4 linked regions of the Struthio camelus genome follow. The protein of the gene in region 4 interacts with the protein of the main gene of each other region in a pairwise test. Links are inferred from orthologs where the notes say so. Each region holds a gene or a part of one and is shown on either strand. Other genes may lie near its edges. The genes, in order: ZMYND19, ARMC7, POLR1C and TNFAIP1.

The links.
Region 1: the proteins of TNFAIP1 (region 4) and ZMYND19 interact in binary tests that used the Homo sapiens proteins (3 or more experiments, as listed by UniProt). The two-hybrid records come from large-scale screens. The link is inferred for Struthio camelus from reciprocal best matches to the Homo sapiens genes TNFAIP1 and ZMYND19.
Region 2: the proteins of TNFAIP1 (region 4) and ARMC7 interact in binary tests that used the Homo sapiens proteins (3 or more experiments, as listed by UniProt). The link is inferred for Struthio camelus from reciprocal best matches to the Homo sapiens genes TNFAIP1 and ARMC7.
Region 3: the proteins of TNFAIP1 (region 4) and POLR1C interact in binary tests that used the Homo sapiens proteins (3 or more experiments, as listed by UniProt). The link is inferred for Struthio camelus from reciprocal best matches to the Homo sapiens genes TNFAIP1 and POLR1C.

Annotation. Positions count from the first base shown.
Region 1 is NC_090961.1:12,062,811-12,069,751, forward strand, and holds the start of ZMYND19 (zinc finger MYND domain-containing protein 19), read right to left. Parts: upstream 3,021-6,941; 5' UTR 2,913-3,020; coding exon 2,862-2,912; intron 2,580-2,861; coding exon 2,520-2,579; intron 807-2,519; coding exon 700-806; intron 1-699. UniProt on the Homo sapiens protein: May be involved as a regulatory molecule in GPR24/MCH-R1 signaling.
Region 2 is NC_090960.1:8,164,438-8,172,251, reverse strand, and holds ARMC7 (armadillo repeat-containing protein 7), read right to left. Parts: upstream 3,011-7,814; 5' UTR 2,889-3,010; coding exon 2,822-2,888; intron 2,728-2,821; coding exon 2,584-2,727; intron 1,300-2,583; coding exon 962-1,299; 3' UTR 434-961; downstream 1-433. UniProt on the Homo sapiens protein: As a component of the minor spliceosome, involved in the splicing of U12-type introns in pre-mRNAs.
Region 3 is NC_090944.1:103,663,135-103,670,174, reverse strand, and holds the start of POLR1C (DNA-directed RNA polymerases I and III subunit RPAC1), read right to left. Parts: upstream 3,018-7,040; 5' UTR 2,770-3,017; coding exon 2,701-2,769; intron 2,607-2,700; coding exon 2,535-2,606; intron 2,340-2,534; coding exon 2,232-2,339; intron 1,540-2,231; coding exon 1,407-1,539; intron 1,276-1,406; coding exon 1,156-1,275; intron 964-1,155; coding exon 811-963; intron 633-810; coding exon 483-632; intron 1-482. Other genes in the region: protein YIPF3, read left to right, coding at 3,243-3,323, 3,419-3,622, 3,708-3,814, 4,685-4,730, 5,158-5,250, 5,598-5,729, 6,286-6,399, 6,874-6,997. UniProt on the Homo sapiens protein: DNA-dependent RNA polymerase catalyzes the transcription of DNA into RNA using the four ribonucleoside triphosphates as substrates.
Region 4 is NC_090957.1:21,433,483-21,440,501, reverse strand, and holds the start of TNFAIP1 (BTB/POZ domain-containing adapter for CUL3-mediated RhoA degradation protein 2), read right to left. Parts: upstream 3,012-7,019; coding exon 2,624-3,011; exon of another isoform or gene 442-2,623; coding exon 272-441; exon of another isoform or gene 149-271; intron 1-148. Other genes in the region: IFT20 (intraflagellar transport protein 20 homolog), read left to right, coding at 6,166-6,292, 6,709-6,794. UniProt on the Homo sapiens protein: Substrate-specific adapter of a BCR (BTB-CUL3-RBX1) E3 ubiquitin-protein ligase complex involved in regulation of cytoskeleton structure.

The sequences.
Region 1 (6,941 bases), on a different chromosome or scaffold from region 4:
CTCTTTCCAGCACACACCATATTTTCTACAAAATTAAACTCAGGTCTCATCATGAAGAACATATCTAAAAGGAGCAGACTAACAGCTCATTAGATTAGTCAGGAATACTTACCTCTTACTACTGATTAAGTCAACCTCTGAATGTTAACTGGGAGCTACAAAGGATATCAAGCAATGATTCTTAGAATACAGAAAATAGGAAGTAGCAGCTGAGACAAAGTACCTTCAGCGCTGTTTCATGTAGCTTTCCAGAAGGCTGAACAAAAACCTCCAAAGTTTTAAGTTAGAGGTTCTATCTCTCCAGTGCTCTGCCAATTCTCACTGGTGCCAGTAAGTTATGTGCTTATCACAGGACAAACGGAACACAAAAGGTTAGTCTTCATCCATTAATTTAGATGGAACACCCCCGGGCACACAAGTTTTGGTAGCAATTCTCAGATTTCAACAGTGTCCGCACAAATTATACTCACCTATCACTGTTTTCCCTGGGAATAACATTTTTACAGAGACTCAACTGTTTAAATGACCAGTGCAAAACAAAACTATAATAAGATCTAATGGCACCCACTGTGCTGGGTTCCCAGATGAGTATAGCTGCAAGCCTCCTGAGAAGACTCAAAATACTACAAGCAGAGAAATAAACAACATACAAGTTGCAGGCAGCAAATTGCACCTTAGTGAACCCTTGAAGTTACCTACCAAAGTAGCTCATGTAGCAGGCGGCCAGACCCCCTTCCACGATTTTTGTCAAATGCATAAGCAAATATTTTAGCACCATTTCCATCAGCATCTACCTCCATCCGAGCCTAGAGAAAAGGGAAGACTGTGACTGAGGGCGCCCAACACAGAGTGGCAGAGCACATGCCTTTTGGGATATACAAAAGACCAACATTTACTATTTGGCTCCTACAGACGTAGGAAACCCACCATATAAGATATAGGTCACTTGATCTTAATGGAATTTCACTTGTCTGAAACCTCCAACAGAGAGAAAACAGCTCTGCTATTGTAGCTTATGAAGATGCAAGGCAAAAGGAAGAAAGAAGGCTTTGCACAGCAGGAGTTCCACTTGGACAAAGAACAACAACAATCCAGTTGTTAGCCTGTAGGGCCAGGATCCATTCTCTGCTCTGGCATAGATTTTATGTACAGCCATCAGCAAGTCACCAAGGCTTTGTTTCCAGTATTGCTTTACACCAATCTAATTAGGGGTTGCTAGTGAAAGGAGTGGTCCTGCCCTCTTTTCTCCACTCAGCTCCATAACCTTGTGCAGGCACTAACGCTCTTGCTGTTCCCTGGTACAGTTCACCGTGCAAGCTAGCATACTCTCCACCTCCCCTTAAAATATATATATAGTTTTCAGCCAGATGTTTTTCTCTGATCCAACCCCTGTGGAGTCACACAAGCAGTAGCGTAGCAGAAACACAGATGGGGGAAGAGCGAGTCCCCTCCTTTCAGGGGCAGCGTGGATTTTTGAGTGTTCTGAACCCCCTGTGAAATGAGACCAAGTCCTTGCATGTCCAGCTTCATTTCCCTCCTCTACCACACAAATGAATTACTACAGAGGAGGAAAGAGCAAATACGGTCTTTCTTGATTGGAGCATCACCACAGCACTTAGACACCTAACAGTAACTCTGCAGCACCCACTGTGCTAGGTGCTACGCAAAAAAACGGTCCCCACTCCAAAAACGTGTTAGTTATAGAAGATTTTGCAATGAAGAATTCTTTCTCTTTGTAAGTCTGTAAGGCAGAATCAGCTTACCCTCTTGAAGCATATCTTAAGAGAAAAGTTTTTTCGTTCCATATTAAGCTAACTAAGAGATGTTTTGCCAGTGCAAGACTATGTGCAAAGTGAAGTGTTTTTAAAGTTTTACAAACCAAATAAGGGGAGACAGATTGTGAAAGTTTTCAAAAAATATATACAAGCAGAAGGCTGAAAACAAAAGCTATATAACAAATTAATTTGTTTTAATGCTTGTTTACAAATGAAGGAACGGAACACTTCCCATTTGAAAGCGTTCACACTGTTGTTTCAATATTTTCAAACTTATTTTTTTCCCCCAAAGTAGGAAAGTTATTGCTCGCCAGCGTGATTCCACAAGCAGTTTTATTTAGGCATGTCAAAACAGGAAAAAAAAAACTCACTGACACATTGCAACTACTTCCACCCCCAGGAATACCGCGAACCGCTCTCGCAGCGGAGACCTCGGAGGAGCTGCTGGACCCAAGGGACAGAGCAAAGGGGTATCGCCACCCCCACAAGCTAACGGGGGAGAAAGCAGAGGCCTTGCTGATAGTCTGATCGCACGCACTGAAAAAAGGGAGCCGGTATCGCGATTTAGAGAGAAAAAAAAGAAAGAAAAATAAGAAAAAAAAAAAAGAAACAGCCCCTAAAACCAAGCCCTAAGACAGCATACGATGGGGGAGGGGAAAGGGGGGGCCGGGAACGGAGGGAGAGAAAGTCATGGGGCAGGAGGCGGGCACCGGGGAGGGGGGACCGGGGGCCTCTCCGCCTCACCTCGAAGGAGTAGCTCTCCACCAGCGGGATGTCCTGCTCGTCGATCAGCGTGTACTTGGTCTGAAACACAGAGCGCAGCGGCCGCCGTCAGCCCAGCGGGGCCCCCGCGGCGGCGGCGGCGGCACCGGCGCCCGCCGGGCAGCGCGACACCGGCCGCCGCTGCCCGCGCCTCCCGCCCCGGGGCCGGGCTCGGCGGGCACAGCGCGGCCGGGGGGTGTGGGGAGAAGAGGGGAGCCGCCCGCGCCCCCGCCGCCGCCCCGCGGGCAGCCGCTCCGCCCGGCGCGGCCCGCAGCGCCCGGCCGCGCCCCCCGCGCCCTCAGGCCCCGGCCGCCGCGCGCTCACCTTGCCGGCCACCCGGCCGAGCCGCACGATCCCCAGCTTGAAGTCGGTCATGGCCGGGCCGGGCCGGGCGCCGCCTGCGCTCGCCCCTCGGAGCCCGCGAGCGGGAGCGGAGCCGCCGCCGCCGCTGCCACGCGCCGCCGCCTCGCGCACACCCGGGCTGGGGAGGGGGGGAGGGGGCGGGGCAGCGCACCACCTCCCACCCGCCGCCGCCCGGCCAATGGCAACCCGCGCCCCTGGCGCGTCGCCCCTACTACGCCGCCGGCGCACCCAATCGCCGGGCGGCGCGCGCGCGGGGTCACGTGGGGGCGGGCGCGCGGCCCGGCGCGGCGCGCGCGGGCTCGCGCGCGGGCTCGGCCCCGAGGGGGCGGGGGAGGGAGGCGCGGGCGCTGACGTCACGTTCGCGGGAAGCTTTGTGCCGCCAACACGGGGAGAGCGCGAGCGGTGGGGGCTGGGCTTAAAGGGGCCGCTCGGGCGGGAGGGCCCCGCCCGGCCGGGGGAGGGTCTGGGGCGCCGGGCCGGGCCGGGCCGGGCCGGGCCGGGCCGGGCCGGGCCGAGGCGCGTTGCTGGGACCGTCCGGTGGCTCTGCCCGTGTTGGGCTTGGAAGCGTTCGGTGCTTCCCGTGGCCACGCGGCTACGAGGAAGGCGCTGGCGCCCGGGAAGGGCAGGGCCGGCTGGGGAGCCCCTCCGTGGTGGCGAAGGTCACCCCGGCTGGTGGCCTGAGGTGGCGGTGGGCTGCGCCGGCCGCTTCTGGGCCTTCGGAGGCGGCGGCTGGGCGGCCCTGCTCGGCTGAGACCTGCCGGAGAAGGTGGAGCAGGGCCGGGCGCCCGTGTCCCGGGAGCTGGATGCGGACCCTGCTGCGTTATAAAAGAGATTCACTCTGTGTTGGGATGTGCTGTAATTAATAAGCTGCGCCCTGCAGGCGGGACGCGGGGCCGGTCCTGCCCGGGCTGGGGAAAGAGCCGGATGATCTGCCTTGCTGCAAACGTACAGCTTCGGCGAGGATGTTCTCAGACGCCTTGTGCTGCCGCAGGGTTTGATCGGTGGCTCCGTCCGCCAAAACGACGCGCCGTGCTGGCGGGTGCGGGGTGGTGGGGCTCGTTTCCAGGTCTAGTCGTGACGAACGTCTAGATGAGGGCGAAGAGCTCGCTCCTCGTTTCACAAAAGTCAGGGGAACGGATTTGCAGAGCGTCCGCTGCCCAAGACTCTGCAGTCACAGCTAAGAGCACTGGAAACCACCTTGTTTCCTTGATTGACGTGTGGGCGTTTTCGGCAGCCTGCAGGAACGTTTGGAAGATGTCACGGTCGAAGAGGGGCTTCAAATTGCATATAAATGGATAAAGCAGCCAAGGAGGACGGATCGCTGTCCTTGCCCAATTACCTGGGAAATCACTAGGGCAGAATAGGACAACTGTGCCCCGAAGAACGTGAGCAGCAGGGAAAAGATGTGTTTAAAACGGTGAAAGGAGCATCTAAAGGAGACAGACGTTAAAATATTTAAAATCTAAAGAAGAAGCTTGGAAAACTTTCCTTAAAAACTTTCATTTCTGCGACGGAGCAATCCCATGGAGGAGACATAAACCCCAGCTGCTTCAGGCTCTCATGCCGGACCAGGGAAATTAGACACCGCGGTTTGGAGCAGCCCTTCAGCAGCCAGCAGACCCCGTGGGATCCAGGAAATGCCTAATTCTGCAGGTGCTGCTCCGTGCAGTTGGGGCACGAACCTGACCGCGTTCGTCAGGGCAGCTAGTCGGATAAGGAAACCTTCGTAAGCTGCTAAGCAAAAGTCTTTTTGGCTAATGAGAAAGTCAAGCAAATAGTTGAATCGGGAGCAGAGTATCTATGCAGTGAAAAGAATGCCTTGCTCTTGCAAGAGTCCTTGAGGGAGAAAGATAAATCAAACCTCCGAGAAAGGCAAAGTAGCTGGAAACGTGCAATAAATCCATTAATATACACCCAGGTTTATCAAGGGCATTGCTTCATTTTTGATGACTGTGGCTTTTGATGATTGTGGCCTGCTTTTTAAAAGAGAAAAACAGCAAAGAAGAGTGTATGATACTGCTGATGCCAGGAACAAGTTGTTCGGTGCGGGGGGACTTTGCTCGGGATGTGAAGGGCTTCGCTTCCCCATGGCACCTGCTCTTTTGCTTGGCCCTAGAAACACGCCAAATAAGAATCGGGTCGTTCCCAGCTGGGAAGGGACGGGGAGAAGAAGAGATTGTCCAGGCTAGAGAGAAAATCAGACTAACGCTGGCGGCAAATACCTGCCGGTGACAGGTGTTTGCATTTGCTTTGGGGTGGTCAATGGACTGCAGCCCCGAGATGCTGACGGTACCTGAAGCCTGGGTGCCTCGCCGAGGGCGGCCGGCGCCGGGAGCCCTGGAACGCGCCGGCCGTCACAAAGCGGTGCCGTGAGGTCGCCCCAGGCGAGGGGCTCCCACCGGCGGCCGGCACGTGCCGCGGAGCGGGGCCGCAATGGACTACCGCCAGAAAGTAACCAAGCACATGGCCAGCTACTACATGAACGGCTACCAGCACTGGAAGCCACCGTTCTTCTGCCAGCTTTTCCAGCACCGCTGGTAATTTTGGGCTGTGCGTGGGGATGCGAGGGGGGATGCTTTCCAGCAACGCCCGACTCCTGGAAACCCAAAACCGCCTGTGCATCAGGCGACAAAGAGCACGGACCAGGGAGCAGCCGCCTTGCCCAACTCCACATCTCACTTCCCACTCCCGGTGCGAGGGAGCTCCCAACCCGCCGCCAGAGCCGGGTGCTGCCATCCGCAGCGCGGCCGTGCCGTTCCCCTGGTCCCGTTCACCTGGGGGCGACGCAGCCCAGCCCGGGGCAGTTGCCTTTGACGTCGCCCAAGCTGTCCCTCGCCCTCCGATAGGAACCTGCTGCCCGTGACGGTTGTGCTCTGCCCGCGGCTGCGGCCGGAGCCCGAGGCTTCGACCTGCCGCGTCTGCCTGGATCGTGTGAAGCAGCTGAGCAAGAGGCACTGCCTGCTCCTCTGCGTGGAGGCCCGCAGCGGAGGTGAGTCATGGGTGCACGAGCCCGGCCAGCACCCCGGGCACCCTGCCACCTGATTCCCGGCTGGGGCTCCTGCCGGCCAGCAGCCTCCTCCTTTCTCGTAGGCCGGCGAAAGCTCACTTTGCCATCGCGACTTTCCTTCCCCTTCTGGCACCCTCTGCACCTCCCATGCCCGTCGCGCAGTCCCCTGCCCTTGGGGGACGTGGCAGAAGGGCACGACGTCCCTGAGGTCGCGGGCAGTGTGGGCGGCAGCAGGCGATGGATGGAGACCACCTCGCCTGCCACGTGGAGATCAGGGCATCTTCCCCCAGCACCGGGGTCTTCTGCTGGAGGCGGGCTTGGGTCAACCCCCCGTTCTCAGGGACAGACACAAAACCTGACGCTGCGGGTCGAGCGGCTGCAGTGTCCTCGCGATTGTCTCTGGCTCATGGGTGAGACAGAGCGGTCGGCACCGTCACAAGCAGCTGCTGCTTTAGGGCACCTGGCTGGCAAAGGCACGTTTCTGGTATTGGGAGCTGAGGGGAAGCTGGGCTCTGCTCCCAAACCACGTTAGCCAAAAGCTGCTCAGAAGAAGACAAGCCCCCATGCTGCAGAGCGGCCTGCGACACCAAGACACCGGCGGGGGTCTGGCAGGGCCAGGGGCCCCGCGCCTGCCCCGTATCGCTGCTCTGTGCCCTTCCTCCAGACCGCCGAGCCCCTGCGTGGAGCCAGCCGTCCCCCCGCGTTGATGGTGACAGCCCCGGGCCTGCTGCCGACCTCTCGCCCAGCACCTGGTGCCGTGAGGACACCGCTGCAGCCCAGAGCCGAGCAGGAGAGACCCTTCTGCCAGGTACGCGAGGTGTCCATCTCCCCCAGAACGGCCCCACGGTGCCAAAAGCAGCGATTTGCCCCGTTTGGAAGCAGCAGAGCTGTGAGGACGCTCCACTGCGAGCGGTTCGTACCCCGGTGTGCCGCTCGCAGGCTCAGCAAGGAGCGACGGGTCCTGCCCTCGCGTGAGCACCCTGCCAGCAGCTCCCACCCGCTGGGCAATGCTGGACGTGACCCTCCTTTCCCTT
Region 2 (7,814 bases), on a different chromosome or scaffold from region 4:
TTTCTAGAAAGTTGCTCTGTATTAAACTAGTTAATCTCTGTAGAGTTGTTACTGGTGTTTGATTGGTGTAGATGAGTAGAAACTGCCAAAGACATTGTTTTGGTGTTTTTTAAGCTCACTCCCACATCTTGAGCTGAATGGGCATATGGGGGAGGGCAGAAAGGAGGGAAAAAAAAGTACTAAGGCTGTGAAACTTGAGCAGACACAGCGTGTCTGCTTAGGGAGCACGGCGTCCAACAGCCAAACGTTTTAAATTTTATGTATTTAGTCACCCTGGCTTTTGGGTTGCTTTTTGCGTCATTGGCTGATAATGAAAGGAGACCAAGCTGGCTTCAGTTTCTGGCCCACGTGCATTAATGAGTGTAGGTGAAGGCTGGGTTGCAAGCGCTGCAGAAAAACATTTATGTTCTTATACAAAACTGTTTACACAGCATTTAAGCTAATGTTTTATTAAGAGTAGGTTTTACAAGACAGCTGTTCTTGTGAGCCAGACTGCCATGAGCCTTATTTTTTTTTTTTAAATCTTCACCTTTTTCACCAGTGACAATGAAAGAAATAGAACTTTCCACTTCCTGTTATGTAGCACAGTTATGATCTGTTCTGTATAGTGAGGAACCAAAGGGGATGTAAGCTGCCCAATAACCTGCGCAGAAAAGGCTAATTGCTGGGAAGGGTTATTTGCGCAAGCTGGGTGCTGGCCTGCACTTGGCAGCCCGCTCTCCAACAGCCATGACCTGTTTTATTTTTTTATTTTATTTTTTTAAGTTTCATGTCTAGACTGATTCACATTGTAGCACTGTGCCTTCCTTTGTATTAATACTAAAATCCAGCGCTGGTCTGACCATCTTCCCTGTTTAAAGTTGCTCTCGGCACACTCTTGACCTGCTGAGCAGAAATTGGAAGGCTGGGATGTTAAGAGGGAAACCTCCCTCGTAAGAGCGCCAAGCTGCTCTGGGCAGTTTCAGTCCTTAGGGAGAGGAATCCCCACTGCTGTGTGTTTGCTTAGATTCCTGGCCTCTTCCACTTGGAGAGGTGTGCAGTAATCCTCAAGGAAGACAGTTGCCAGATTGCTTAGCCTTCTGCTGGCCGAGAGAGAGAAGCGAAGCATGCACTCCACCACTGGGAGAGCTGTGGTCTGCTGGCGCGACTGCGGCGTTGTCAGGTACATCAGCGTTGTGACTGCCGACATCACTGTCTCCTCATTGGAGCTGGACAGGCAGTTTATTATGGGCTCTACCCCATTCGCCTCCAAGATGTAGTCTTTGTTAGTTTTATCCAGACAGAGGTTACAAAGACCACCTGAAACACAGCAGAAGAGAACGTTCTGATGCACGCAAGACGCTCTTCTCTACTCCCTCACCTTTTTCGAAGATTTAAGTCCACTGCTACAACTAGGAACCTTTACTCTTTCTTACAGTTGAAACTACCACAATTAAATCTCTGTAATGCACATAACTTGGTACACATTTCACGTTTCCTCTCCTTATTTTTGTTTAAACAATTGTGCCAACTTCATCTTTCCTTCTTTTTATAAACTGACACAGAAAAATATTTCTCCTGAGCAATAAGAGGTAAACGTGCTAAATCTTAAAGATGTTGAGAATTACAAAATGGGATTTTAATCATCTTAAATAACCTCTTTTTTCTAACTCAGTGTCGTAATGGAAATTATTTACCTAAATGCAATTGCGCAGTGATGCCAATTTTGCTGATCCCCGTTTTCCAGTACGGAAATAAGCAGCCAGATTGGCTGTGAGATCTGGATGGAAAAGTGCTAAGTGCTCCTGCGCTAAGTTTTCTTGATTCTTCCTGGAGATTTTCCACTAGAACACTCCTTCTCCAGTATGTCATTAGAGGGCACTGTGCCTCTGGACATAACGTCTTCCACAGAATGAAAAATACCTTTATCACTTGACCCTAGACGTGGCTACAATCCAGCAGTATATGGCAGATGTTTTACAAAACCAGAGAACAGAGAGACTAATATTAGTCGAGAGGCCTACAATATTAGTACTTGAGACTTTAAGGTGCAGGCATATCCTGGTGTAGCTCAGTCAACAAACCTTAAAAACAGAGCGTATTTAACGTCTCACGGAGTCACTCCCAGTGAGGATCCGGCCCCGTTCCCTGTATGCAGGGCACGATGACTCGGTGTCAGGGACTCCTCGGAGGGCTCGCCGGATTACTCCCGACAAGCGTTCTGGCAGACTGGCTGTCAGCACTAGGGTGGAAACACTGCATCTGTGCCTTACGCAGGGCACAAATTCCCTCTCAGTGACCGTCTCCGTATAGGAGAGATTTGGGTAAGAAGTCATTCAGCCAGTGTTTTCTTCTAGCATAAAAAAACCTGCTTTACAGAAAACAATCTTTTTTTTAAGTGCTGCAACTATACTGAACTTCGGGGTGGGGTGGTGGGGGGGGGGGGAAGCTGCCGTTCGCTCCCCTCTAAACAAGGCTTTAGGGCTGCAGCCCGGTCCCTTGCAGCACCCCAAGCAGCACAAGCAGCCACATGTTGCTTGAGCTTCCGAGGGGCCGGGCCGGGCCGGGCCGAGCCGGCAGCCCTGGCCCCGCCGCCGTCCTTACCGATCGCGAACTCCACCAGGCTCTCGCTGTCCTCGGCCAGCGCGTCAAGGAACAGATCCAGCACCTGCAGCTGCCGGAGGTGCTCGTAGTTGTGGGGGTCGTAGGCGAAGTTGGCCAGGTTGGCCAGCACCTGCTCCTTGGCGTCTGCAAGGGGGGAGAAGCGGCAGGTGAAGGCGGAGCGGCGGCGCTCGGCGGTCCCGAGCGAGCTGTCCGCCGCCCGCTGCCGCCGGGGCGTCACCTGGGCTGTCGGTGGCCTGGAACTCGGTGACCAGGGCCTGCAGGTACTCCAGCCGGCCCAGCTCCATGCCGCCCGGGCGGCCGCCGCCGCCGGGAGCCCTCAGCGCGGGGAGAGCGGCGGCGGCGGCGCCCGCGCCTCAGCGCAACCGGCCGCCCGCAGCCCCGGCCCGCCGCAACATGGCCGCCGCGCCGCGCCGCGCCGCTCCCCGGGCGGGGCGAAGGGGTCGCCTCTGCCTGGCGCCACTGCAGGGACAGAGGGGCCGGAGGGGGCCGCGGGCTGGGCCGGGTTGCGCCGAGCCGCGCTGCTTCGCCGCCTGACCGGGAGGGGCGACGGGAGGGAGCGGGCGGCGGCGGCGACAGGAAGCGACGCGCCCCGCCTCCCCCCCGCCCCTGCGCGCGCCCCGGCGGCGGCGGCGGCGGCGAGCTCGGGCGCGAGGCGCGGCGGCCGTTGGCGCCCCCCCGGCGGCCGTTGGCGCCCTCCGGCGGCGGCGGCGGCGGCGGGAGCGGTGCCCGGGGCCGAGCGGCGGCTGCGGCGGCGGCGGGGGGCAGCCGCTCTGGCGGGGATCGCGCCCTCGGCGGCGGCGGCGGCTGCCGCTCGGCTCGGCTCGGCCCGGCCCGGCCCGGCCCGACGGCGGGGTGGCGGGAGCGGCTCCTGCCCTGGGCTCCGGGCGGCAGCCCGAGGGGACCGTCCTCCATGGCAGCCAGACCGGCGACGAGCCGCCGCTCGGCCCCGGCCCCGGCCCTCCCGCCCGCGACGCTCAGTCTTGGAAGCTCCTTTCTGCGTCCTGGAAGGGACCCGCGCTTCCCTCAGCTGCTCGCTGTCTGCTCCCAGACTTACGGTTTTCCGCCCTGCTCGTTTCCGTGTCCTTCCAGGTTCTCCACAGTTAGCTGTAATAAGTGCTGTTGAGTGTTAAACGCTGGACCGTTCCCCCAGGCCGTGACGATGCCGACCGGCTTCTTGGCAAGCGAGCGCAGCAAATGATGAACCAGTTAGAGCGATCCGCTTCCGACTCCATCTCAGCATCCCCCGGGGACGTGTGTCCACCACGGGCCATACGGGGAATACAGGCGGGCAAGAACACGGGGCCGACTGCTGCAGCAGGGAGAAGAGCAGGAGGAGATAAAGGTCTCGGTTCATTGCCTTATGGTAATAAGCAGCGGGAGTTGAGACGTGGCTGCAGGGTGCCATGGGGCTGGGGGTGCGATGGCAGAAGTGGGGCGTGAGAAGTGGCGCGAGGCAGGATCCGGGGCAGAGGGGCACGATGGGTGCTGCTGCGGGTGGCTCCTGGGCCGATCCCGGGCGGCCCGCGTGCCAGGCAGGTGCGGAGCACATGCTGATCCCTCTTGCAATGCAATGTGTTGAGACAACGTTCTTCACAAGCTCCCTGCGCGTCTGTGTCGCCGCTCCCAGTCTGGGGAAACGCGGAGCTGTGCTTTCCGAACGGAAGCACGTGTTGGTTTGGAACAGAAGTCACAAACGGGGACTTTTCCTCTCCAGATATTTCCTTGACCTCAAACAGATACCATCAGTTGGTATAAGCGCACTTTGAATTGTGGAGAGCGTCAGGTGACTGAAGGTTCAAAGGGACAAACTCCCCATCTTGTAGACAATGAATAAAGCATGTTGGTTTCTGAACAGACAGCTGAGTTCCCAGCTCTCCAACGTCACTGCTCGTGCCAAGCGTGCAGGGTTGGCGGAGGCGGTAATTCTTTTCCTCTGCACCTAGTTCCCTGTTTCTTGACTGAGTGTCCCAAGAGAGACTTCCTCCCCTCGGTTAAATGCATAGATCTTTTAACATTTGTTCCTTGATTGGTTTTCAGCTTAACCTAATAAGCATAGATGAATGCATTGAGATGATCTATCAGCGCACGAAACACCGGAGCTCTGTAAACAAGGGGCTAAGTGTCCTCCAGAGGGGACCATGGCCTAGGGTAAGCTTTTTGACCGCTTCTCTGTGGGCTGGACAAGCTTTTAGGAGCTCTAACACGTGCTACTGAAAGGCGCAACAGCGAGCAGCTGTTGCAAAGTGTAGAAGGGCTGGAGAACCATGAAGTTTTACAACAGCAGGGACCTCACTCCTTTTCTGTATGCTTATTGGTATTCAGAAAAAGCGTGATGTGGGAAAAGACTGTCTATGGCTTCCTGAGTTAAGAATTATTTTGCAGCCAAATGTTTTTGGGCCACTGTGTGATAAAACCTGCAGCATGCTGTGCCACACGCACCTGCCCCCCCCCAGCACCTTCTCCTCTCGCTGCCCCTCATCACTCCCATTCTGCTCGGTGCCCCGGCCCTGTCTGCTGCCCTCGGCGAGGTGCGGCTGCCCCCCCCCCCCCGGCCCAGCGACGGTATTTCTACCTGATGTGAATGTTTAGGCCTGTCCTGTGCTGGCAACTTCAGCTGTTCTACGCGGTGTCAGTTGGAGCGTGTGTGTATGTCTATGCATGTCTGCAAATGCTCAGGCAAGCGTTCAGTACTACAACCTATTGCTAGGCTAGCGTGGTTTGCTCATGTCATAGCCAATCTTTTCTAGCGGAGGCTTTTGCAAGTGCCTCAGTGTTGCCATCCTTTAAAGCCACACGTGTCATTACATACGAGGCGAATGACTGCTGTGGGCAAGCAGGAGGAGAAGAGAAAGCAAGTAGAGGGGAACTAGCTAGCGTAAAGACAAGGGCTTGAGGACTCTGGGATTGACTGGGGGGGGGGGAGTGCAAAATGGAGTTTTTCCAGAGGAAGGATGAAATGCCTTATATTCACCAGCCCTGTGGATGTGGTCAGTCAGTTCGATTTTGCACGCCTAGAAGCAGGAGGACCTCGGTCGCCCAGCGTGGTTTCAGAGAGAGAGTAGTGTTTAGAGCAGGCTTTTGTCTATGCTGGCTGAGTTTTCAGGTGAGGCATCCCTGAAAAAGGTACTCTCCAGGGCACGCTCTTTGGTGTGTGGCAAGACGTCATCGGGAGCAGAGGCGCACCTCTGGCTGTCTTTCTGAGAATGACTAGCTCTGCTCCCTGGAGCCTTTGTCTCTCTTTGAGTTTAATCACAGCTGATTAAGAGCTGGGCGGAACAGGCTGCATTTAAGTTGATGTGGTGGAGCTGCCTCCTGGAGGAGAGTTGGATCAAGTTGCCTGGCTTTGCAGTCCTCAGAGCTTTTCTGTAGGCGTTACTGCCGGGTTGCAGAGCACGCTAGTACTGTTAAGGTGGCGTGCTTCGTTATGGGCTGCGTGCTTGTTGTCTTGGTGCTGCTTCGCTGCCGAGAGTTTGTCCGGATGCTCCGAAAAGATCACTTGGCAGCTGGCAGAAGGGGCTGAGGTGAGTGTGTAATGCTCTTCCTCTGGCTGTTTGCTCAGGCACTATCGGCTATAACGCTAAATGGTCTGAATGCTTCCAGCCCCTGCTGTTTGCCGGGAGACTTAGCAGTGAATGAACTAATGAAAGTGAGGTGTTCGCAGCCTCCCGGGCCCTTCTTTCCAGGGACGGCAGCTCCCACCTGATGGCATGACAAAGCTAGAACACAGTAAGTTTTCATTTCTAGCAGTTATTTAGCCATTACTAGCAAAGTCTTCCAGCAGTGTGACAAGCTCTTCAGCTAAGCAGTTTTGTGCTCTGAGGCGCATTGCAGTGCGTAAGCTGACCAGGACTCTTCCTTGTTTTCATCACGCTTCCCTAAGACTGATGCTGGCTAAGTATCTGAGATGTATAAAGATCCCAGTCTTGAACTATTTCAGCGTGAACTTGCTGGTGAACGTTTCCTTGCGATAAGGAAAGGTGCCTGTTGCAAAAATGCTTAGCTTGTAAAGTGAAGGAGACTGCTTTTATGAGCAAAGGCAGCAGGGAGGGGTCGGTGGGGACTGGGAGAGGGATGTTTATTTCTGGGCTATTCTTCTTGCTCTGCCCGTTCTCAGAGGTTTCTAACCTGGCTGAGGTTTTGGTGTTTGTCCCTAGCAAAAGCCCATATTATTTTACTGTCTGTAAGTGTTGGGGAAAACTGCTTTAGGGGGGTGGCAGTAATTAAGGTGTGGTTGCCTTGCATAATGGGAGTACCTTAAACTATGGCAAGGAACTTTTATTCCTTTTTGTTTCCTGTGGGCCTCATGATTCTTAAGCATGGGGTGTTAATATTTCTGTGCTATAGCTCTGAGAGGGAATGCTTATTATACCGTAGCACGCTCAGTATGCACGGCCCCTTCAAAGCTGCTGCTCGAGGCGGCTTGCAATTCAGGCTAAAGACAGAGGTAGGAGAGGAGAGCTGTAGCCCAGGAGAGCAGGGAGGTAGCTTTCCCCCTTTTGGCAGCAGCAAGCTGTTCAGTCGCCTTATTTACCTGTGGAAACACCGCCTGAAACGGTACCTGTTACGTCTCCGAGAGTTGTGTTCAAGCCATGGTATGTGGATTACTTCTAAACGGTCCCTGAAAAGTAGCTAGGGGAGACAACCCTGGTTTCAGTCAGCTTACGTTCTGGAAGGCTGCTAGACGTTTTTTAGGCCGCCAGAGGGGAAAAAAGTGAAAACTGCGGATTTGTAAACTAGGTGTTTCTCCTCCCAGAAACATCTCTCTGCCTATGAACATAAGTCCCAGAGACCCTGGCTCTGAGTCTGGGGGTATCAAAAACCTGTTCTAGAAAGCGCTCGCCTCACTTTCCCTCCTAAGTTACTTGGCACTATTGTGCCAGCTGAGAAACAGTCAAACCGGCGATGCTGTTGCCGTGGTATAGGAGGAACTGATCTGCAGCAACGGGTCAGCCCTGCAGACGCAGCCGTTGGCTCCGGATGGGGGGTGCGTTCTAGTGCTTCTTCCACGAAGCTTTATTCTTCCGCGATACGTTGTGATGGGTTGCAATTCAAGCCATATCTTGCTTGTTGTGCTCAGGACAGTTGTAGGAAAGGGCAGATGTGGGGCAATGTGCCCCCCCTCCCCCCCCAATATCTGGAAGGAAGTGTAAAGGGTATGTGAACGGGTGAACAGAATATAAAATTTGAGAGTTGCTATTTGTAATAGCTGG
Region 3 (7,040 bases), on a different chromosome or scaffold from region 4:
CAGACAAGCACTCGCCCACCAGCAAAGGCAGTGAAGCCACAAAGTATAAAGAATTAGCACACCTCCAACACAAAATTCTAACCTGATAGAAATGAGCAGTTCCAATCTAAACACAAAGCTTATACATACCCCTGGGCAGGATACACGTCATCCCCACATTCAACTGCTGGAAAGACCAAGCTCACTACCCAGTCTGACACACAGTTGAGCAGTATTTGGAAGCTGCAGTAAGCAGCCACAGGGCTCTACAGACAGACACACAATACCTTAGCATTTCAGGGAGATCTCAGTTCACCAGCAAACACATACGCGTGCAACAGCCACTCATCCATAAAACCAGGCTGAGAACAGCACAAACAGTTGCTGATCAGCAAGACAACATCACAATGTGGTTTCGTCTCCACAAGGTTTGGCTCTAGTCTGCAATAACTCTTTGCTAAGACTCATAAGGACATGACACGTTAGAGCAGTGAATAAAGTACCCTTGATGGTCTGGATCTCAATGACTCCAGGGGAAAAGCACTTCTGCAACAACTCAGCCGCCTCATTCTCAATAGGCTGCAGGAGAGTAATGTCCGGAAGCAGTCGATAACTAGCTGTGGCCACAGGAGAAAACTTGGCATGATCTTTACCTGCACAAAGAGATAAGGGTGAGGAGAGGTCTCACAGAACAAGAGGGTAATGATGCTAGGGCCTAAAGTTCAAAGAGGCAAGCCAGCCTTCCACCTCTCCCCTCCACACATCCGTCCATGCCCTATAGTCCGAGCACTCCCACACCTTCTCCCCCTACCCTCAGGACCAGTGACTTACCTATACCCTTGACACAGTGCATAAGCACATCTATTTCCTGGCCAGGTCGTAACTGTGCGATAAGGATGTCATCATGAACAGGTCGGAAGTCAGCATCTGGGAAGAGGTCTGTCTGATTTCCCAAAGGCACCCATGTCATGTGTTTACTGTACACTGTGAAGAGGAGCCACAAGCATCAGCCAGCTGCTGCCTCAGAAAGCAGACTGCTACAGGACTGGAGCTGGTAAAAAGTTTAGCAGAATAAGGGAATCAGCTCTCTCTGTTCACAGGACTGAGAGAATGGACCAATTCCTGTCTCCCAAGAAAAAAAGCAGCATCTGTTTTTAGGACACGGAAAGACCTTACCTTTGTGATTGAAGTACAGTTCATTGGGGTCAGAGGACTCCCTGGCTGCCTGAGAGTTTCGGCTGCATTTTATTTTCAGCTGGAACTGCAACGTATCAATTTCTGTCCCTTCTTCATCTCCTGGAAAGGGGAGAATAGCACGAGCGTCTACAGAATCACGCTTCTGCTCAGTTTACCTGATCCCAGGTTTCCTACTTTGGGGGCAACCTTCAGTATTTCGGTTTGATTGAAGGGAGACTCAGGACTCTCACCTTGGTTTCTGTACTCAAAGAGTCGAGGGTCAGCTCGGATAGGGATAAGTCCCAAGCGATGAGCCAGAATCTCATCCTGCACGATGGACGTGTTGTTGTACACAAAGACTTTCTCTACAGCCATCGTTGGCACCTCAAGGAGAAGAGGACGCATCAAGTCAGTATAAGGTGACGGTCCAACTACACACCAAAACAGTGTCTAACTAAAACGTGCTTATTTTCACTACTTCTTCTCTCCCATAAATAATTGCTCGCACACTCTTCTCACTGGTGTTTCTATCAAATTGCGCTACCCAATACAAACATGAATGAGTTCTCCCTCTATCCCGGTAGCTTACTTCTTTTATTAAAAAAAAAAAAAAAAAAAAAGTAAGAGAGGTAAAGGGCAGACCAATCCACAGAACCTACCAACATCCACAACAACCTACCAACCTACCTCAGCATCCTTAAGGGTTACAATTGCTATTGCTCATGCCACTAAGGCTCTAACTCTCTCTAGGTCCTTGACATACAGAACGGATTTTTGCTTCTCTTCTAAAATACGTATAGATGGACTGAGATACCACAGGACATACACATACACGCCCTCTCCCATCGCACAGACTGCTCTGCAGCTAGGGCCTGCTTCCAGGCAGCTCTGTGCAGGGCCCTGTCCCCCATGCCCTGCTGCAGAAACACTGATGCTGCAGCAGGCTCCCACCGGCGGGCCACAAGGGCCACCGGTGGTACGAAGATGCTAACAGCCCCGAGGCCCACCCGAGTTGGGGGGGGGGGGGGAACCCGGCCGGGGAGCACCGCCAAGCCTTGCCCTCCCCGCGGCGGTACCTCAGCCAGCAGGATGCGGCGGAAGGCGTTGGCGATGGCCGCGTCGATGCCCACCATGTCGAACTCCAGCGCGTCGTCCTCCTCGCGGACCACGTCCACGCGGAACCCCTGCACGGGCCACGCGCCGCGTCACCCCACGGGCCCGCCTCCACCAACCGCCGCCGCGCGCGCGCCCGCACCGCCCGGAGCCTGTAACGTTCCTCCCCTCCCCGCCCCGCGCGCCCCCTCCCCAACGGCCGCCGCGGAGCCCGCCCCGTCCCAACGGCCGCCCAACGGCCGCCCCGGCCTGCCGGCAGCGCCCACCTCCTCGAAGCGCAGCTGATCCCAGGCATCGTCGTAGCCGGGGTAATTGCCGGGGAAGTCCGTGGTGTGGACCTGCGAAGAGGGAGATAGGCAGAGAGCCCGTGAGGGCGGCGGCGGCGCCGGGAGCGAGGCGGGCACCCGGCAGCCCCGCGCCGCCCCAACTCACGTTGCGGACCCCGAACTCGCCCAGCACCACGCGCTCCCGCATCTCCTCCGTGCCCCGCTTGGCCGCCATTGCCGCCGCCGCCGCTACCAGAGCGCGTGCGCGGCCGGACGGACTGGGGAGGGAGGGGTTAGACTCCCTCTGCCACGTGACGGGCCGCCCCACCCCCGGCGGCCGGGCGGGAGGACTTGGCTCCGCCTAGGTGTGGCGCCTCAGCCGCGGGGCGTTCAACCCTCCCTCGCCGCAGGCCGGCCTGGGGGCGCTGCGACAGCGCAGCCCACGCCCCCGTATGCTCTGCGAGGCTCCCTCACCGTCTACTCAGCTCCTCTCTGCTGCCCCCTTCCACTTTCCTCTGCCACTCCCAAGATGGCGGCACTGCCGGCCGGCCGGCGAGAGCGCGATCTCGCGAGAGCGCGGGCGGAGCCTCCACGTCCGCCGGTGCTGGGGGGGGAGGGGGGAAAGCCTGTCACATCCGGGTCCTGCGAGCCCCGCTGGGCCCGCGGAGCCGCCAGCAGCGAGCGCGGCGCGGGGCGGCCCCGGCCACGATGTCCGCGCCGGGGGCGGCGGCGCCGGGCGGCGGCAGGAGCGGCGCGGCGGAGTGGGGCGGCTTCGAGGACAACATGCAGGTGGGGCCGGGCCGGGCCGGGCCGGGCCGGGCGGGGGGCGAGGCCGAGGCCGAGCGGGGCCCGGGCGGGCACTGACGCCTCTGCCCCCCGCGCAGGGCGGCGGCTCCGCCGTGATCGACATGGAGAACATGGACGACACGTCGGGCTCCAGCTTCGAGGACATGGGGGAGATGCACCAGCGCATGAAGGAGGAGGAGGAGGAGGCGGAGGGCGAGGCGGCGGCCGCCGAGGAGGAGGACGGGGAGTTCCTGGGCATGAAGGGGCTGCGGGGGCAGCTCGGCCGGCAGGTCGCTGACCAGGTGAGCGTGGCTCCCCGCCCGGCCCGCGGCCGCCCCCGGCCTCGGGGGCCCGGCCCGGCTGCTGCACGCTGCCTTCTCTCCGCAGATGTGGCAGGTGGGGAAGAGGCAGGCCTCGAAGGCCTTCAGCCTCTACGCCAACATCGACATCCTCCGGCCCTACTTCGACGTGGAGCCTGTCCAAGTGCGCACCAGGTGGGCAAGGCCGTGGCCCGGCCGTCGCCTCCGCCGCGAGTGCCCGGGGGATTCAGGGGGGACCAGCGACTCCTCACCAGGGAGCGGCTGCCCCCAAGGCAAGCAACTCCGGGTGGGGCTGCCAGCCCTGCGCAGTGCCCAGATGCAGGGTAACACGCTAGGCTTTGTCCCCTTGTCCTTAAAGAGGTTCCCTAGGCGGGCTGGCCGCTATGTCACTTGTGGCCCAGCAGAGCTTCTCTGACTGAAACAAGGGCTTTGAGGCATCTTTAGCGTTTTATTGCCCAGCCCCGTCACGTGGTTTCTGTTGGACCTGCAACACAGTTGTGTTCAGAAAGGCAGTTCTGTGTCTTCTCAGGGAGCAGCTTACCTGACTGGAGAGAATGAGGCAAGAATTACTTTTCTAAAACCTTCCAAGGCCTAAGGAGCCAGCACTAGGGTACAGTTTGTACATATTTTTACAGCATGATTTTATCCAGGACTAACTCATGAGGAGGCTCGGCTAGCCCGCTGTCATGAAGGAGAAGGCTTTATATCATCAACATATGTTTTTTCATCCAGCCTCAGGTCAAGGAGTTCAGTGGCTCAGAAAATTAGGGATTGCTGTTCTGGCAGCAGTCCCCTCATCCCTGAATGGATCTGTGTATGTTTTCATTAAATCCCCCTGGCAAAGTTAGCCTGTGGATAATAAGATTGTTTTCTTTAGCTACCTTTTGTGACTCTTCAGAAGGAATCTGTGTCTACCAAGGCCTGTGAGGCACAACAGGAAAATACTGGTGACTGGGGTATGGGATCTTTTACTGCTGAGGCATCTCGTTAACCTGGTTGTTTTTCCTGCTTTTGATGTCGTTCTGTGTTTTTTCTGTGATGCAGACTGCTAGAGTCCATGGTTCCCGTCAAGATGATTAATTTCCCACAGGTGAGTTCCCTTTTGCTGAATCAAACTCCATGGCTCAAGAGAATGTCCCACAGACACCTTGGAGATTTTGATTAGCCCGTGTTAGTAAGGGCCTGAGTTTGCTAGTTGTTCATCTGCCTGAAAATGCTGGTAAGCTCTTTCCCAGGATGCTTCTAAACCCCTTTCTGCTACCCTTAATGCTGGTACAGTTCTAGATCTCCAGACTTCACTTATCGTGTTTTGGCATCCTGTTTAACACCACTTTGACTCTTAATCACATGACCTATTTTTCCTGGCTCCTGTCAGCAGCGGCCTTACTGTTACTTCTCAGATCAGTAGGTGGCTAAGTGACAAAATTCATCCAAGGCACTTCTCACATGGCTTGGGGTGGGGAGTCTGGCCTTCAGGAGCACTAACCAAGCCTTCCCTGGTCTGTCTCCTCCTGTAGAAGATTGCAGGCGAGCTCTATGGGCCCCTCATGCTGGTTTTCACGCTGGTGGCCATCCTCTTGCATGGGATGAAGACTTCGGACACCATCATTGTACGGCGAGTCTCAGCGATAGGTTGGGGTTTGCACTGGGATCTGAATTGCCATAATGAGGCTAGAGAGGGAGAGGAAGCCTCTCCCGTGACTGAACAGCACCTTGCTGAAAAGCAGACTGATTTGAGGAAGAGTTAATTTGGGGGTAGGAGGAAGGAAGCAAGCATCAGAAAATCTTGATGCTGTGTTGCTGGAAGGGCTGGGCAGTAGGCCATGTGGCATCCTGGACGCTGCTGGCTGGCTATTCAGTCATGCCTAGCAAAGGCTCTGGGAACTCTCTGAGGTGGAATTTGGGTCCTGACAGGTCAGTTCTTTGCGCTCTCCTCACCCTGACACTGTCTCTGCAGAGGGAAGGCACACTGATGGGCACAGCCATTGGCACCTGCTTCGGTTACTGGTTGGGCGTCTCCTCTTTCATCTATTTCCTGGCATATCTGTGCAATGCCCAAATCACGATGGTGCAGATGCTGTCACTGTTGGTATGTATGGATGGGGCTAAGATGCAGGTTGGCTGCATGGTGCTTCAGCAGAAGGGTGGTGTGGGGGGGTCTTCCCTGAGACGTGGAAGTCTCCTTATCAATTAATGGTCCCAGGTGACTGCAGTCCTATTGCATGGGGATAGGCTGGAATTCCAAGTTGTTCTTCTGACTTGCCCCATCCCAGGTACGAGGACAGCACAAAGTGGCTGTTGCTTCATGCAGATCTGCTTTGGACTTCCTGATCTGAGAGCATGGTGGTAAAAAGCAGGAGATTCCAATTTCTCTGGAAACAGAGGCTGATTTTTTCTCTGTTTCCCAAGTTGCTGTGATTTCTATCATCCCTGTGACTCCTTCAGGCAGAGAAGCTGGATGTGAGCTGCTCCCACAGCACACTGGCTTTTACGTTTGGTGTGCTGATTGACTCTTGGGTGTTGAGTGAGTGATTAGTGAAGCTTTGCCTCCATGAAACGCTGCAGGAGTAGCCTACTCATGGTTTTGACCAGTAGCCCTTCACGTGGGACTGTCATTCATAACACGTGTATTTTTGTTTTGTCAGGGCTATGGCCTCTTTGGACACTGCATCACCCTCTTTGTTACCTATAATATCCACTTCCACTCCCTCTTCTATATCTTCTGGCTGGGTGTTGGTGGACTCTCGACACTACGAATGGTAAGGGACAGGCAGCTGGGAGCCCTCCTGCTTTGGGGACCAAAAAAAAAAAAAAAAAGAGGAGAATGTCATTTGCTTTCTGTTTCTTGGGGCAGGCAGTTCATATCAAAGCCAGTAAGGCTGCTAAGAACAACAGCCTGACACTTCTGGGTTGCTTGGCCGCTGGTGTCTGGAAGTGACACTCGGCTTAATGTCCTCACGCATTCTAATGGCTGCAGGAGGTCTGCTCCCTTACAGCCCCTACTGTGGTGCAGAGTCCTGCCTGAGCATCCTGAACTCTTGGCAAGGCTGGACAAGCTTCACCTACATGAAACAGTCAGTTTACTTTGAATTTGGTGGTGTAAACTGCCAAAGAGTCTCTGAGTAGTTTCTGTTGGCTCTTACCACTTGGCCCATCTGCCTATGTGCATCTGACTGCAACGCCAAAGGCTGAGGTAGCAGCTACCTTGTCTGTAATCTCCACCTCTCTCCTAGGTTGCTGTGCTAGTGTCACGTACCGTGGGGCATACTCAGCGGCTCATCTTGTGTGGGACCCTTGCTGCTCTGCATATGCTTTTCCTCCTCTACCTGCACTTTGCTTATCACAAGGTAGTAGAAGGTAAGAAGGGGAGATAGGAAGGGAGTGCCTGTTAGATCTGGGG
Region 4 (7,019 bases):
TCCTGTGAGAGCATAAACTAAATCTCTCTTACACAAAGCATCACAGAATCTCGAGTGTCCACATACAGCAAGGAAAACCACGGCTTTGATAAATGTACTTGATAAGATCTTAACAACTTATCTCACTGCTGTCTCATTTTCTTTCCAGGCTACCTTGTGCGCCTAAGACTTGATGTACATCTAAGACCATGAAACACTCTTTGAAGTCATCCTAAGTCATATTTATAAGCAAAACGCCTGCCAATAACTACAGGCTACTTCTATTTCTTACCTGCAGGGCTGCTTGGCACATGTCTACTAAGCCCTGAATAAGATAATATTTGGCTTCTGCCATCAACTCTTTGATCTCCTGTCTGTGTTTTGGAAGCGCAATTGTGTCATCTCGGAGATAGTTTAAAATTGTTCCAAAGTGCTTCCCACAACGGTCTATAAGGATCCAGCCTGAAAAGTAACCATCACAACATTTCAATCACCTCAACAGTGGGAGGCAAACAACAGCTTTTCAGAGAGGTTAAACATGGAAACTGCATTCAAGTTTCATAAGCTGATAAGAAGCCTACTGAAACTTCCCTGAAACTGCGTATGATCTGTTTCCCATTTCATTCAGTGAAAGTCTTTACTGACTTTGAGCAAATTGAAGTTGGTTACAGAACAGAAAATGACAGGGGAATTGCTCTTCTGGCGATCTACTTTCCTCTTTGGAAATGTACTTTTGGAAGACTTCTCTACTCTTTTCTGCTTCTTTTCTATTCTTTGGAAATCTACTTTTCAGCACCCCAAAAGAAAAACACAGTTAGAAAAAAAAACTAAAAATACCCAGCTTTCTCTCAAGAGACATTAAAATCCCTGCAGGAACCTGGCTGCACTGTATCTACTGATCAGTCCATGTGCTGCCTGACTAAAATCATTTTCTGTGTTTGATCCTTTATTTATTAGGAATGGATCTTCTTAACTACTATAAGAAATCACCAGTTTGCATTTTTAGAGTTCTATTTGACTGACTGACCGAGCAATTCAAACCTTAAAAAAAAGCTTATTGTTAGGCAAGCTGCTTGTTTCATTTAGAGGCTTGCCATATTCCCAGCAAAATAGGGTTTTGCTGTGTTTGTATGGGAATAAATGTATCAAGTGCTGCTGCAGTGTAATGCTGGGCACTTGAAACTTAGAAATCTATTACTAAGAAAGCTAAGGGAAAAGTATAAGAAGGAATTTGCAAATATTTGCAACAAGTGAATTGGGGCTAAGTTCTGTGGCCTACCTAGAAAAATTTGTCAGCCTCCCAACCATCTTCTACTGTTGTTCAGAGTTAACAAAAAGAAAAGTATTCCAGGGATGCCAAAACATAGAATAGCCCAGAAAACACAGTGTGGGAAAAACACTGTTCCGGTCTCCGAATACGAGTAAAGAACACAGACAGATCAGGAGAGAGTGGAAAGTGGAAGCAGCACAGGAAGGAGTAGTAGATGAACGTTTTTCTGATTCTAAAACATCCCTGAGGGCACATTGACTAGGAAACAGGATGTCTGACTTGCTGGCAAACAATAGCAATGCAGGACACACGCAAGCAGAGGACTTAGTACAGTGACAAACTCTCTTCCATAATGTGGAAGGCAGGAAAAAAATGGTATTTGGGGACCCAGGTGCAGAGGACATTATAAGAAAAGTAGACTAAACCACTACTAGATTCTCCAGCTGTGGCTGTCAGAACACTAACCCTGTCCTCTCTTCAGGCTAAGGCTCTTACACAAAATTGCTGGGCTAAACTGATTTAGTCATATACAAACCAGCGTACTCAAGAGGAATTTGGTTTAAGTGATATGCACACAAAGAAGTTGTGTCAGTTTAAGTAAAAACACTGTTATGCATCAAGTTTAAATTGATGCAGTCTCAGCATGTGGAAGAGCTTTCACAGATGAATATTCTGAAACACCAAGAGGTTAAATACTTGCCATCCTCTCTCAATCTCTTCTCCACAGTGCTACAAGCCTCATTCCTAAGGTATCATTTTGCTATGGGATAGTAAAGAGAGGAAAACAGAAGCATTCATAGGCATTGCTGACATCAGTCTTCTTACTTGTTCTGTTCTCTATAATTTATTATGGATTTTTATTTTTATAATGCCAGGAATCAATGTCCAGCATGAGGCGACATAATACTTGACTGGTGACTAAATACTGTCACAACATGGATATGTATTGTCAGCAACAAGTGGAACATACTATTAGGAGGGGAAAAAAACCCAGAATCCTCAACATAGCAAGCAAGGCTGTTGAGTTTGAAAGATGAAAACTGAATGTCCCCCCACCCCCAGTTTTGATTGACACCACTATATATCACCCAATAAATGACAACCCATGTGCCGTATGTTCAGTCTTGATAACGTCAGCAATCTGTGTACCAGCTGGGATTGTAGCAAAGAGAACTAGTCCCTCCTCTAGTTAATTTTAGTAACAAAAGAGCACATTTTCATAAGGCACGGAGGCTTGCTAGAGCCAATGGGAGCTGGGTGCCTAATGTTCCAAATTACTTTCCGAATACGTTTTTCCTTATACCCTTCACTCAGCATAGTCTACAAAAACTATTGTTTTACAAAATTCTCCACATCAAAAGACATTCCCCTTACCTTCCTTGTCTGTGAGCACTTCCATTCTGCCACTGAACATAGCCTTCAACATTGTGTCATGCCTGGTCAGTACTTGAACCGTAGTATAATATAAGGAACCCCCAACATTTAGTCGCACATATTTGTTACCAAGGTTGCCCCCTTTGAAGTTGCTAGTTTTGGGCTTGGATCCTGCAGCTGGACAAAGGGTGGTTAGACATGTGTCCCCTGACATCTCCTTCTGTAGATAGATGACAACCCTGCAGAGCGTGGGCTTGATGGATTCCGCCGTGATTGGTGAAGAGTCACAAGTCACGAGATGAGGAGTGCAAGGCAAAAACAGTCGTAACCCACTGGACCCTTGAAACAGAAACGTATAAAGATCAATACAGAAGCCTGGAATTACCATTTAAAACAAAAACAGGAAACCCACATTAAAGAAGAAATGTATTCAGTAGATTCTTAAGGACACATCTGCACAAATTCTGACAAAACAAGACGTAAGTGTTTTTCAAACAACTTACACAGCAATATAATGATTGTTCAGCACCATACTGTTAAGTTATGGCTGCATTACTGTTAGCGAGGCAAGTAAAACTTTTCTGGACTTCCTTTTGTTTAGTCCTCAGTCAATATAACAATCACCATCCAATCCTGTACAAGTTTAAATAATAGTTAGAATTTGGCTCCCTCCCAACTTCCCAAAATAATGTAACTTTTTCTTGTGCAAATCTAAAACACAATGGAAGAGCTTTCTGCAATGTCTCCAGCTGGGGTTTATATGAATTTTTTTTTTAACTGGAGACATTTACAGAGGTTTCAGCTGCCTCTCTTTCAAGTGCCTCGACACTAAAATGCTGGGCCATAATGCTCTATTTCCTGGTACATCCTTCATTCAAAACTCTTTTTCCTCTGTCCTGGAATGCCAAGCAGTCAATATAATACTAATTTTTCTATTTAAAAAATACGTCCAGTCTTTGGAATATTTGCCTCACGGAAAAGCCAGCTAAGACATTCACAACTTCCTTCCTCTCCCCAGTCTCACTATACTTATCTTTCCATCCAAGAGAAGCTTAGAATGGAAACAAACAAACAAACAAAAGGAGAACAAAACTCAGTTTAACAGGCCAGATCTCAGGTTCTTTAACTGGAAAAGTACAAGTACGGGTTTCTCAGCTAGCCTTCTTTTAATAACTGTTGGCCTCAGAAACATTTTGCTGGCTTTTCCCCTCTCACTATGCTTTTGTCTGTTTATCTATTTCAGACTACAAGCGTCTGTTCGCTTCTCTGTTCTGTGCCCGTGGTACATGAGTGACCTTTTATAAATAAATATAATAACCTGTTAACTGTATTGCTATTCTTCCCACATCCCTCTTCCTTCTCACCCCACCTCAGCTTTCAGCATGGAAAAAACCCACATCTCTCCATCCATCTGGTGCAGCAAATTACTTAGCAGCTACAGATGGTATCTTAAAATTGCCAGAGATTTGAATAGCTACTGAACTTAGAACGATATCTAACATAATGTTATTCTAATTAAGGAAGCACTACAAAAAAGATCTATTAAACAACAAACAATACAAAAACTTTGCAGGTCACAAAGACACAAACCAATGTTAACAATTTTAGTGCCAAGAGAGATCAGTTTGTCTATAAATGCTGGAACTCCCACTAGCTGTCAACACTCTTTACTTTCAACTAATCATCCTAGAACACAATAGTAAATTTACTTCTACATCTGAACAAGCCAATTTTTTTTTCTGAGCACATCATTTTAGACAAGTCGTCCATTGACAAATATAAGTCAAAGGCAACTGCATGTTACAAATGAACTAGGCTAGAAAAGTAATTTCAAACTGGTAAGCAGCCAGCAACAAACAAAAACTGTGCATGCGATTATGGTGCTATAAGAAGTTTATTACCCAGAAGAGCTAAAAGCTATGGAGAAATTGACCAGAACTTCTCCAAACACATTGCACATAACACAATTCCTCCTTACTAGACATAGGTGTTTACTATAATCTTTTACAAATAAGTAAATCAAGACTAGAAGCAACTATACTTATTGTTTCAGTTAAGACCTTTGGTAGACCTAAGTTATACCTCTATTTCTACAAATTTGTTACAGATGTCCTGTCTTGTTTTAGCCCATAGCGATCTCTCTTTAAAACAAAAGCATGTTTTTAAAGATAGCCAGATTGATCATGCAACAAAAGAAATAACTCCAGACCCAAACAGAGCTCTTTAATGTCTTTCTAATGGATAGCAAAATTCTCTATCCAGCCTATCCAAGTAGGAGCAAATACTATTACTGTAACATGTTTATTAACTAGCAAGCTAGGAGGCTTTTGCTGCAAACAGTAATTTGACCTTTAATTACACCCATTAACGCAAGAGAAAATTTTCTACGTCCTTTCCTTCCTGCCTTTTGTGGGAAGCAGATGGAGAACTGCAGAACAATAACACGGCAGTTCAGACACCCTATCAGGAAATGGTCCCAGTTGAGGACTTCCATAAAAAGAAATAACGTTAACAGCTCAAGAGGAGAAAAAAAAAACTTGAACAGAATCACTTCTAAAGTGGCACACTTTCTGTCTAATTTCTGGACTAGACAAAATGGTCTTAGTAGTTTTGGACACTCCCAGGCTCTGCCAAGCCCATCATGATGGGACAGAAGCATGACCCCGATCCTTGCTGAAGTCTGCACAGAGCTGAGCAGCACAAGAAAGGTTATGGATAGAGAAGGTTTAGTGGAGTCAGAAAGGAAGGTGGCATGAGCACGTCAGTGTCAGAACAGCGGAGAAAAAGGAGGTTTCCTGCGTGCCCCGAAGTTTCACATACAGATGGAGGGCAACGTTTCCAGAGACAAAGTTTCCGGGTGCTGAATTACTCGAGTCCACGCACCTGGCCTCTATTCCTTGGTCAGCAAGGGCGACAGCACCACAGCGGCAGAATGTTTCCTCTCGGGGTCTCAGTTTTACATCTGGCAAGGCAAATAACAAGGTCACCCTAGAAGCTAAATACTCATGTGAGCAGGAGTTCTCCCCTAGCCGTCTCTCACCGCCCACCGGGATGCTGGGACGATACCTGACCGCACTCTTCCTCAGCCCCGCTCGGCCGGCAGCGCCGCGCTCCCGCGCCCGCAGGCTCAGCCCCGCCGCGCCAGGCCTCCGGCCGCCGCCGCCGCCGCCCCCCGCGCCTCCCGGCTCCGCCGTGCCCTCCCCCGCGGACCCGCCGCCTCGAGCGCTCACCCCCCCGCGGCCCCTCGGCTGAGCTCATTTCCTCCGCGCGCCGGCAACCCGGAAACGCTCCCCGCCGCCGGGACTACAGCTCCCGACGTGCCGCGGGCTCGGCGGGAGGCTGGGACTACAGCTCCCGGCGTGCCGGGTAGGGCCCCGCGACTGCAGTACCGTCCCCCCTGTCGCCGTGGCAGCCGCGGTGCGGAGGGGCGCTGCCAGGTGACGGGGGCGGCGGGAGGGACGGGACGGGCCGCCGGCGGGGAAGGCGCTCGCTGCGGTGCCGGCTTGCTGCGGAGCGCGCCTGGGAGCGGCAGCGGGGGCGGCATGGCCCGCGACGCCCTGGGGCAAGCCGGGCTGCATTTCGACGAGCTGAACAAGCTTCGCGTGCTGGAGCCCGGCGTGGCCGAGCAGACGGCGCAGCTCCGCGAGGAGTGCGGCGCCTTCGTGGACAGTAAGTGCCGCTCCGCCGGGGCGCCGCGCCGCGCCCGAGAGCCCGCGCGGCCCCTCGGGAGCGGTTTGTTAGCAGGTGTCGCTTAGCGGGGCCGTGCGGGGGCTCCGCAGCTTCGAATAACCATTCCTTGAATAGACGGATCGGAAAAATGCCTTGAAGTGACGAAAAAATTAAGGAAGCGGACTCCGTGGCGTAAAGGACGGTGATGAATCCCGTTAACGTTTATGGGCTTCTCTCTTTTTTGTTCCCCTTTTATATCCTACCTGTTGTGAAGGAAAATCTTAAAGTGCACCTATTTACAGTAAACTGAAAGGACTAAGAAGTCACGGCTGAAATTCAAAGCCTATAGTACACATATTAGTCTTATTTGGTGTTATTTTGATGGATATTACTTGACTTTTTTTTTTTCTTTGCAGAAGTAGTAGAATTTCAAAAAATAGTGGGTAGCTTAATTGAACTTGTTGATCAACTAGCAAAAGCTGCTGAAAGTGAGAAGATGAAGGTACTGCGCAATTAATTACTGGCTTGTAACATACCCTGCCCTGTACAATGCATGAAAAACCAGCTCCCTTCCTTCCTACTTTTACAGTATAAACAATAATTTTCTGTCAGCATCATGCAGATATTTTCCATGGTAGTTAACATCTCCCTGCCTGTCTGGTATGAAAGCATAGGGGCTACAAAAAACTGACATTAACAACTGGAAAAATTTTATAAGCACACCTGG